2 linked regions of the Neodiprion lecontei genome follow. The protein of the gene in region 2 interacts with the protein of the main gene of each other region in a pairwise test. Links are inferred from orthologs where the notes say so. Each region holds a gene or a part of one and is shown on either strand. Other genes may lie near its edges. The genes, in order: ubiquitin-conjugating enzyme E2-22 kDa and cysteine and histidine-rich protein 1 homolog.

Region 1 (6,319 bases), on a different chromosome or scaffold from region 2:
GTAGTTACCATGTTTCGAGGTTGCTGAATTTTTTCGTGACAACCTTCCCGATGTCGATTCCAAGCCTGTCGACTATTCGCTGCGCCAGGTCCGGGTGCGACGTACCGCTGAATACTTTGATATTTGGCATTCTGCTCCGTAGTACACTACCGCCACGAGGTTTCTCTAACTTTGCGCGTAACAAACTCCTCGCACGGACTGGTTGCGAGACGGGCATTACTGTAAATCCGAACGACCAATCAGAGCCGTCCGGAAATTATCAGTATGCGGACCCAGCGCTCCCTCGTGTCAGCTTACCGAATTATTTGCATTTCAAATCTTTGATCTTAGGGTGGATTTTCACTGGCGGCAATATGCTTTTTTCACCGATAGGAATGCCGATAAAGTAATAAAGTGCTGCCTGATGCACGCTGAATGCGAATTATCCATTTTTATTATTATTTGCATTGGTCTGGAACTAGGCAGTAAAATACTGCCGCAGCATTTTGCTGTCCACGAAAAGCTCGCATGCCTCATGGGGTAAATGGTAACGGCCACTCGGTATACTCTATCTCTCTTGCTCTGCGCTATGATTAGCTGGTCGATCATTCAAATTGGCCAATTTTTCTGTTATTTTTTTATTTTTTTTTCATATTCTCACGAACTTCCAGCGAGTTTTAAGAGGATGCTACGGGTAGTCTCTAGTAACCGAATAAAATATCACTCATTTTGACTATTACCCAGAGTCTACGCATCACTGACATGAAAATGGCGCGGATAGCACATTTTAGCCACTGCAATGTCGAACAAGAATATTCAAAAGCTTCTGTCTTTCATGCAAGAATAACATCAGAAAATGTGCTCCTACAATTAGTAGTAATTCTATTACAGGAATATCATTGTAGCGTAAAACAAATACCCGTTGGGTTCTTGTGTTCTGCTTTCGATACAGAATAGTGCTATCACGGGACTACCTTTTCCCGTTAACGAATGCGTAGGCTCTGATAATAGTTAATCATAAGTGACATTTGACTTGCTCGGTAAGGACTGACTATAGAAACTTTTTTGTGAACTGATTTTGAATTTTGAGGATGTCGAAAATTGCAACAGATATTATCGTTTTCAAACCATTAAATATGACTCGAAGAGATAAAATTTGTTCATGAACGGGTACGGGGATAATTAAAAAAAAAATTAGGTAATGCGTTTCATAGTTCGGTCCGTACATGGCAGATATGATGCTGCAAACATATTGACATAAAATCGAACAGAATTGTAATTATGTACTTGAGAATCATTGAAGCATACATATTTACTATTCGTTTCATAAGTCAGCAGATAATTTAAAGTTTACTAATTAATCCGGTCATAGTTAATTTATTATCAATCGGTGTTCTGTCATATTATATTCCATTTTGTCACAGTATAATGTTACATATATATTATACATTTTTTGTACGTGACATCGTGGTCCAATTTGTTATTTTTTCAACTTTCTTCTTCAATTATAAAATTATTTATGCTGATTTAATTCATGCACTTACGTTACAATTAATGTAAAAGATTAATAGAATCGTTCGGTAAAGTATTTATATAAGTGCATTGCAGCGTTAAGATCTGACAGTAAAACAGTTAATATTCACCACTCAATATCTGTGAAGGCGTAGAATAAAACCTGCGTCATTGCTTACGTATTCCATAAGTAGTTGTTGAAGAATTGAATAAAAAAGTTATATATAACCATATTTACATGAGTCAGTGAATAAGTTTTTTGAAAATCTCGAACGAGATTGGTAGGAAAAAAAAAATTTCAAATTAGCGCCAAAGTAATCGCGGCGTGACTCTAGTCGGAATTTAAAGAGACAGGCAAGTGACAGTCACTTTTCTACTTTTCGTCTTTTCCTATCAATGTGGCGCTAGCTGTGATCGAATGACAAATTGTATGTAACCGCCAGCGGTTATTTGGGTAAAAAAAATACAGGTTGCGACAACAGTACATGAATTAAAAGAGCTGTTTAAATCGAGGTAAATACTGGCATCCGTACATTCGGCGGTAAATTATGTCAGTGTATTGAGTAGCTGGGAGTGATAGGGAGACATGGCGAACATTGCGGCGCAACGAATCAAACGGGAGTTCAAAGAGGTTATAAAAAGCGAAGAGGTGAGTGAATAAGTGCAACTTCTCAACGACCCAGTACATTTACCAGTATTTAGCCAAACGCGTGATCGCGAGAGAATTTCACATATTATGCAACGCTAACCTGTAACAAACGGCTAAACAGATTCTCCACGTACCAAGTCGTAGACAATTTTGAGTTGAGGGCACATCTCGCTTTCCTCGCTCGTTATAATTTTCAAACTTTCCTCTGACAGTTGCTTGCGCAATTATTTACCTCGTCTGAAAAGTGTCTGTTGTTATTAGAAAAAAAACATTTTCATTGAAAACTTATCCTTTTCACAAAATTCGTGAGAATCTCAAGTTCTTAGTACATGAAATATCCTATTCAGTTCATACTCATTTCCATAGAATCTTTATTTCTTCAATATCTACGTTCTCTGTCAGGTTCATCTTTTAGGTTTCATCATTTCTCCGGATATTTGAATACTGTTTTAGAGTCACTAATTAACCATCCAAAATTCCTGTTTGAAAAGATATCAATAAATGTAGCTTACTTACCATTTTCTTCTTCTTCCGTTGACAATAATTCGACATTTTCTGGGCTTGCCATAGATTTTTGGGTTGCAGTCAAGTTTTGTTTTTCCAAGACCCCTTTGTAGGCAGGCTATCACGATTTCCACGCTTTGTTAACAAACTGCTTTGAATCTCGTCACATTTTCTTACTTCAGACCGCTTCTTGCGCTAGTCGACATTTCGAAACTTTGTTATTTTCTACACATCATTACGGGTCGCGTTGATAAACTTGGCTTGGTCATTTTTTCTATAAAAGTATTACAGATTAAAGGCTACAGGGGGTCGGCAATCTTATTAAAAGTAGATTACTATTTCTCAGCAATACGATGTATCTGTTGAGCAGTACTGTTCGTATGAATCGCGATAATATTTGTGTTGATAAAACATAACAACCTCGGTGCATAGCTTGGTTGCCTTTCCCTTTTCTACAATTATAATATTCATTAAATATGCTGATAAGATAGTGTTGTGTTTCAGTTGAAATATATTTTCAATAGTTGAAGTTGATATTGAATATGGTCAACTTGTCAAATGATTTCCTCTTCTACTTTATTGGCATTTTCAACAAACAATAATTGACTAATCATGTTTATCTCTTTTCTCTAACATTTCAGGTGGCAAAATGTGCGATTAAGGTAGAACTAGTAAATGATAGCTTCACAGAATTAAAGGGTGAAATAGCAGGACCACCCGACACTCCATATGAAGGTGGCAATTTCGTGTTAGAGATAAAAGTACCTGAAACGTATCCATTCAATCCACCCAAAGTAGGTACCAAAACCATCATGAACAAAGATGTAGTATAAGATCTGAAGTCATTGAATTTTACACTTTTTTATTTCAGGTTCGTTTTATCACAAAAATATGGCATCCAAATATATCCTCGGTTACAGGCGCCATATGTTTGGACATATTAAAAGACCAATGGTAAGTTGCAGTCCAATAATGGTTACTAATATAATTGATCGGGTGATAATTTTGCACTCTGCAATGTCGTTGGTTCTATCACCTTACGACAGAATAATTGCATAACAGATTTTAGTTGCATTGTGTTTTAAACGATAATTGTCATCCTTTGTCAGGGCTGCTGCGATGACCTTAAGAACAGTTTTGTTATCGTTACAAGCCTTATTGTCAGCTGCTGAGCCTGATGATCCACAAGACGCTGTGGTTGCTAAGCAGTATAAGGAGCAGCCTGAAATGTTTCGTCAGACTGCAAAACATTGGACGTCTGTGTATGCTGGTGGTACAAGATTTATCTACTACGAAATTTATTAAAGTTTTTTTTACGAGTAAAGACCTCAGCGAACTAATGATTGTAATATCAAAAAATACCAAGAAATGCCTGATATTTTTAGGACCAGCTAAGATGTCAGATCTCGATGACAAGATAAGAAGATTGACTGATATGGGGATCGAAGAACATAATGCACGAGTAGCCTTATCCTCCTACAATTGGGACTTAGAACGTGCCACCGAACAGCTATTCAGTTAGTGATTACTGTGTATTCTTATGTATCATAAAAAGCAGCTACTAATTGGCAGCAACCTCTTGGAATGTCACTGTCACAAAAGCATACCATCGTGTTTTCAAATAATTGAGAAAAAAACCCAACATTCGTAATGACAATATTGCAATGGTGAGATAACTTTGGAAGTGATCCCAAATTTGACTAACTATTAGCATTCATTTAACATGTAAAATAGATACGAGAAACAATAATAATTGATGAACAAGTTTTAAGTAGCAAAATTTCATAAGGTATGTAACTCAAGAGGAGGGCATTATTACGATTTACGAGAATAAGTTGTAAATTCTAAATCTACAAGACGAAGCGACATTTATGTTTGAATAGACATATGAATGTTTTTTTTTTAATCAATTCCCAATAATCCACTTAGAAACAGCATTAGTAAAATATTTAAGAACCAAACACGTATTAAAATCTACGAAGATAATTGCTTTGATTAGGCACTAACACAGTTGCCAAGTGCTTCCCTGAAATTTTTCTTCAATCTGAGTTCAAGTTTTATGTGAAACCTCATTGCTGGAGGTGTGTATCCAATTGACTGCGTTACTAACGGTTGTACTACTCAAGTGTAACTCATTGTCAGTTCAATGAATGATGATATTACATGTTTTTGCCCCCAACTCTTATTGTTCGAATATAAATAAAATTATTAAACACTTCTTCAATTGTCAAAATTTGAAGATTGACTAGCTGATTATAATATCCTGCAGCATATCGACTGATTGTAACGGGGTTTCGCTTGACTCTTGAGTGTATATTAATCAAATTAACGTATCTTTTAGTCCTAATAAACGTATTTATGAAATTTCGGTAGCCTCCAAACTTGATTTGTGAATATTTAAATTTTGCACATTTTTTGAAGTTTGATTACTTGCAAACTTACACTACTTTTCATTATACCGACGATAAGAAAATTCCAAGAAATCAGCAAAATTAAACTTATAATTTTAATTACAGTGACGGTTATGGCGAAAAATTGAACGTAGCTATTTGATGAAAATACATTTCTTAGAAAACTTGGAGTGTAAGACGGCAGTGTGGTACGACAGGATATCGCATGGTCGGTCCCGTGCACGTTTGCTAAGTGATGTTGTATACGTTTCACGTAATGGAACATTTGATTAATTTAATCTACATCCTATCTTACTTCGATTGTAATTCTAAGAGTAAAGTTCTATTGCCAGGTGTGAAATCTTACCTGCATACGATGTACTCCAATTAATTGAAAATTGATAGTTATGTTTCATAATATTTCATGCATTTTTCAATCATTCACAATGTGCAGGCTGTGTCTGAAGTGTCGCCAGCAAGAGTCAAGGTCCAACTACTCGCAAACCAGTTTGTTAACTTGGGACAAATGGTTGGGATCTGTGAATTTGAATTTACAGGAAAACAAAAAAAAAACTCTGCTCTGTTCATATTGGGAAATTTAGGATTTATACCATTTAATAAGATCAATGTACATTAATAGGCCTCAAATATTAATAAAAGTAATTTTTTTTCAATACTTCTTTCAAAATTTGATCCACCTTGATTTGATCGTGGAAAAATATAAATAGTATACAGTTTTGAATTACTGGAAGTAAAAAAATTATTCGGTCAATATTTAAAAACAGGGCTTATAGCACTCTTAAAAAACGTGCCTAATCTATAAAGAAAATTTTTTTATTCGATACAAAATACTTACGCTACAATAATCGGTATCACATAAATTTAATTACACACACGTATATGACATATTGTATAGTTTAAACAAGTTTCTTTCACTTTCTATTTCACTAGTAAATAAAACACATTCGATTATGATTTCACATCATGCTATTCCTTAATAACACTTGACGTCAACGTCTGTATGCATTTATCTTACAAATAATCAATTACCATATTTATATGCCCTTAGTTTCTTTTGAGAGAGCGTTGCTAGAAAGAGGTCATTGTTTTTAGTATTAAAGGCGCAGAAGTCTATCACAGGATCAGAAACAGGAAGATTATAGATCTGTTTACCAGTTGATATGCTCCAAATTGGTATAGAGCTGGTAGCTTCTTGATGAGCGGCTAGAAGCGTGTCATTTTCAGTCTTTATCTGACACGGTCTAGAAAGTAATTTCTGTGAATT
Region 2 (4,827 bases):
ACTATTTATCTTGACCTAACAACTTCTGCAGGCTAGACGTGGAATACATATTATCTCGGTTGCTGCTCGTTTGGAGTACGAACAATTATGATATCGCCAGTCCCGACTGTTTATATAAGCAATAAAACCAGATAGAGACAGTTGTTAATAGTTTGAACCACTAAACGAAGTCGGCTCAATTCGTATCAATATAAATTATACTTTGAACTATATATATATATATATATGTTGAACGTTGCCAATGACGCGTCTGGCTCCGAATGGCGCAACGATTGCAATCCAACGAACAAAAGATGATAAGCACTGATTATGAGAAAGAGAAAAGAAGCAAGCATCGAATAGACGGAAAATGGCGTCGCGTGACATGAACGATTTAAATACATCATAAATTCTCTCTGTACCATATATCTTCGTGCGTGATTGCAGAGGGAACCGATAAGTGATAAGAAGGAGTATATTTAAAATAAACAAAGAAAATAAAGGCGATAACTCATTCGTATTTAAATACAAAAACTTGAGATTAACGATTTTATCCATACAAGGGAGAGAAACGACAGACTACCGCCAAAGACGCGATGATGGAACGATTAGATGTAAATAAAAATATTACTGCGTAGAAGCCGCGGAAGTTAAGGTAAGCTCTCAAGGTTGCGTAACGGTTTTCACGCTGCAGTGAACGTACCTATATGTGTGGCTGCAGTTTATATATATGAAAGCTGCGCTATTGTTGCATAATTGTACGTACAAACGTACGTATGTACGTATACATACAGAGTAGATTGGCCCGCGGCACACGATTTCGTTCGTCGAATAGTCACGAGGCTGAAGTTGGCAGCGTAATTCTAACGATGCTTAAAAATTGGGTAAAAAAATCGTCCATGTTTCGCAACGTTACGATTGTGTAACGATGTTCGATGAACCGTATGAATAAAGCGAAATGGTCGACTGATATATTCTCATGACTCAATCCATCGGTAGTTGTAAAATTTTAAAGTAAATCCATGTTTTCCCCTCAATTTTTCGTTACGTTAAACGTTGCAGCCAACTTCAGCCTCGTTGTTCAATTGTTTTCGATACCCACGTTCCTCCGTTGAAAGCATTATTACATAGACTTACGGATATGAAAGAGGGACAAACTCCGATTCACGATCAGATACGCAACGTAATATAAGTACCTAGGTGTGTCTCCGGGCTTTGTTGCCGATCGTGAAGAGTCAACTCCGTCTTGACCATTGCCGGTTATTGATTTTTCAAACCCCATGTGTTCACCGTCGACAGGAAGGCGATATTATCGTAGGTGTAGCACTTTCGAGAAGTGGATTCTGGGTGAATTATCTAACACGCAAGAATACATGTCGAAACGGTGGTGAAGAAAGAAATGCAGAAAACAGAATATTATCAATCTGTTCTTTTTTCATTATTTCTTTTTTCATCCTATTTATCGGAGGTATTCTTTGTTCCTCTGTTACAAGAATAATGCCAACGTGAACGCCATGCGGGGTATAAAGTCGTTCATTGATTATGTAGAGAAAGAGAGAGAGAGAGAGAGAGAGAAAGAGAAAGAGAACGTGAATTATTCACCTACCTTGTTTTTGCGCGTTTTTGTATATATAATATATACGTAGTATGTACCAGAGTACGATGCAGCTTTTGAACACAATATACTATTTAGCTCAACAATTATCGAATACACATTCACATTTTACTCACGCACATACACACACGCATACACACAGTACACACACGTGCCGTGGATACTTTGAGCATCGTGTCCTCTTTTTTTTTTTAACAATTGATAATTTATTCGATTTTCGGTGCGCTTTCAGGTTAAAGTTTACGATCTGTAAACTATAAGTTATCGTAACTACGAGGATGTCTGCAAATTTTTAGATTGTACGACATACCTATGTAATAAAATCGAGCGTATACTTGCCTGACAATCCTTGCTCCTTTTATCTTTTTCTTTTTTCAATTTATTAGTTTATCTATACCTTGTTAGCGTGTAATTTTGTTTCTATAATATCGAAAAATAGACACTACTAGTTCTGCGGAGGGAGGAAAGAATAACAAAGTAAATGATGAAAGAAAATTAGTATACAGGTACTATAGTTGTTGCACAGTTCGTCTGTGCGTTATATTTTACTTATAATACTAGGATAAACACCGCTGCGTTTCATCCAGATATTGCATAAGAGGGATAAGAAACAGAAGAAGAAAAATAAGTAAAAGAGATCTCCATTTTGTCCTACTACACGCCTTCTATCACAACCATCCACATATTACAACATATACATATTCGAGGAGATTCAGGACTCGACGTTGCAAAAAGATCGCAAGATCGGAGAAAATGAGGACATTTCGTTCAGGAATAAAAAAAAAATCAATACAAAGAAATTCGTCAGCGGGGTGAGAGAGGAAAATTAAAGAACAATCACGTGCGATTTGCCCGTACGAAACGAAACGCGTCACCGTCGAGACCGTACATGGATATTAATCGAAAACGTGAAATGCGCGTTTGGTGGATGGATGGAGAGGTACGTGACGGAACAGCTGTTCGGGATCGCTGTCGCGTCACGGTGAGCGAAGGAGCAGTCGAGACAAAGAAGAGACGTAGGGAGAGAGAGAGAGAGAGAGAGAAGGGATAGGAGGCGCGCGTAAGGGCGAGAGGGACGTACATACCTGGTAAACGGCTGCCCGGGGCAGATCGAGACAGACGGCACAGCAGAGGATGCCGCCCAGCCGATGCTCCAGCTTTTGCTCTGTCTTTCCGTCGCCCCTTGAAAATTTCCTACGCTTTTTATCCGGTTCGAGAAAATCCTCGACCTGTTGTTTCTCGGCCTCGTCGCGTATCGGTGTTGCGGCGGCGACGGCCGCCAGATCCGAAGCGCCGCTGGACGACGCGGCCTCGCTGCTCGGATCGGCCATTTTTGTTGTTTTGATTTTTTGACAACCGTCTGGGTGCCGCCGCGGAGCCTCACCCGCCGCTCTTTTGTCTCCTCTATATCGCTGTATCTCTTTTTATATATCTTTCTATTTTACACCACTCCGATCCTGCCCCGGGCCAATCGACGATAGTTTCCCGGCTCAAAACTCTGCCGTCATCCACCCGATCTATCAAATTCGTTCCTCCTCCTTACTTTGTGTTCTGTCAGATATCTCACACGCGCTGCTGCGTGACACTGACTGCGCGACACACGCCGTCGAATTCCCAGCTCAAGAGGCACGTCGGCCAAGCGGCGCGGAGGGGAGAGGGGCGAGGAGGAGGGGCAAATGGCTGGCGGGGGGGAGCGGCACAGGCCGGGAGCGGGGGGGGGGGCTGCATGCGAGTCAGCTGATCGACTCCCGACACTGCGCAGCAGGAGCCGTTGGCCAATCTGGCGAGACCCTCGCAGGCGGCACGTGCGATATTTTTAAAACCCACGCCACGGCTATGATCGTCCTGCTCTGTACGCATCTCCGTTCCTCGATGCAGTTATTTATAAGTGGCTAGATGAATTCTTCTCGAGGTAGCTAAGCGATCATCGTTCGCTATGCAGTTAGAAAATTTTGTCATTCGACCAGGCGGAGATGCGGTTTTTTTTTTTTTTTGTAATCCACCGACTCGACGGCGATACGAGAATTATGTAACCGTTACGATCACTTTGATGTTAGTTTATGTCTTTCTTTTTAACTTCGGAAAAGACAACTGCGGTACACATCGGATATAGTAATATAAGTTACCGCTCGAAATCAGCTGTTTGCTATCTACTTTTGTCATTCGAAATTTCAAAATCGTATACACTTAGACAGGACAAAATTGTTTGTTTCTTTAACATCGATAGTACGTGACAGTAGAGAATCGTTTCGAAAACGCATGTATAAAAATACATTATTGTACTAATATTTATTATATCTCTATAATTCAATATATTCGAATAATTAGAAATTTATGGCGTGACTGATGTGGTTAAAGACTCGCGTCTAATTGATACCAATGATAGGAGAAGGTCGTGTATAAGGGACTGATAAAATAAACCGTATATTTAAATTTGAATATGTTCTCACAGGTTTTATTAAGACAATTATCGTTACAACGTTCTTTGTCTTTTATGCGTATATGTTCCTTTGTTTTTATTTTTACGGTATGTGAAACGATAAATTGCTTGTTCCGATAAGAGCCTGGGTAATGATAACTTTGCGTAGAGATTTTAATCGGGCTTGAAACTTTTTTCAATTTCAACATCATCGCACGGGAAAATTTGTCAATACGCCTCAAGGCTAGAAGCAGCAAGCGACTGCAGTTATTAACGTTTCTCAATTTCTTAATTTATCACATTATAAATATACTATAACTTTTGACAGTTGTGCCATATTTTATAATTCGATTCAATTATTTCGTAACGCTTACGTATTGGCACGAAAATGTATCCTTTCTTCTTCTTAGAAGTTAAGTATTTCATTTTTACTTGAAAAATACCCAATATCATTAATTTAACGTGTCAATAGATGATTCCGCAAGTTTAAATAGTTTTGACACTTTCAGATTAGTTTTTATTAAGCCTAGCATCCCTTCCCTCTGCTTTTCGTTGGAGACACTTCATTAGTTTTACTTTTGCTTTTTTCCCTAACTTTTATTTTGATTGACTTAATGGGTAATTACAATATGCCAAATTCGTATAATCAGCCTGACCCTTTCCCGAAATCAAAAACCTGAAGCTTAAATAATTATACATAATTCGTTTCCAAAGTATTAATAATTTGATGATTTCTACTGTCATCAATTCAACAAGTACAAAACGAATTCACGAATTCACAAACACTAATCATTGAATACCAGTATTCAGACAC

Evidence for each region.
Region 1: the proteins of cysteine and histidine-rich protein 1 homolog (region 2) and ubiquitin-conjugating enzyme E2-22 kDa interact in a two-hybrid assay, tested with the Drosophila melanogaster proteins (2 studies listed by BioGRID). The link is inferred for Neodiprion lecontei from reciprocal best matches to the Drosophila melanogaster genes CG32486 and Ubc4.

The regions. Positions count from the first base shown.
Region 1 is NC_060261.1:10,719,844-10,726,162, reverse strand, and holds ubiquitin-conjugating enzyme E2-22 kDa, read left to right. Parts: upstream 1-1,866; 5' UTR 1,867-2,077; coding exon 2,078-2,140; intron 2,141-3,285; coding exon 3,286-3,438; intron 3,439-3,515; coding exon 3,516-3,598; intron 3,599-3,753; coding exon 3,754-3,917; intron 3,918-4,029; coding exon 4,030-4,161; coding exon of another isoform or gene 4,162-4,166; exon of another isoform or gene 4,167-5,160; coding exon 5,161-5,183; 3' UTR 5,184-5,488; coding exon of another isoform or gene 5,489-5,499; 3' UTR 5,500-5,708; downstream 5,709-6,319. Other genes in the region: ribose-phosphate pyrophosphokinase 1, read right to left, coding at 9-217; E3 ubiquitin-protein ligase RFWD3, read right to left, coding at 6,077-6,319. UniProt on the Drosophila melanogaster protein: Catalyzes the covalent attachment of ubiquitin to other proteins.
Region 2 is NC_060260.1:36,889,353-36,894,179, reverse strand, and holds the start of cysteine and histidine-rich protein 1 homolog, read right to left. Parts: upstream 3,202-4,827; 5' UTR 2,926-3,201; coding exon 2,680-2,925; intron 1-2,679.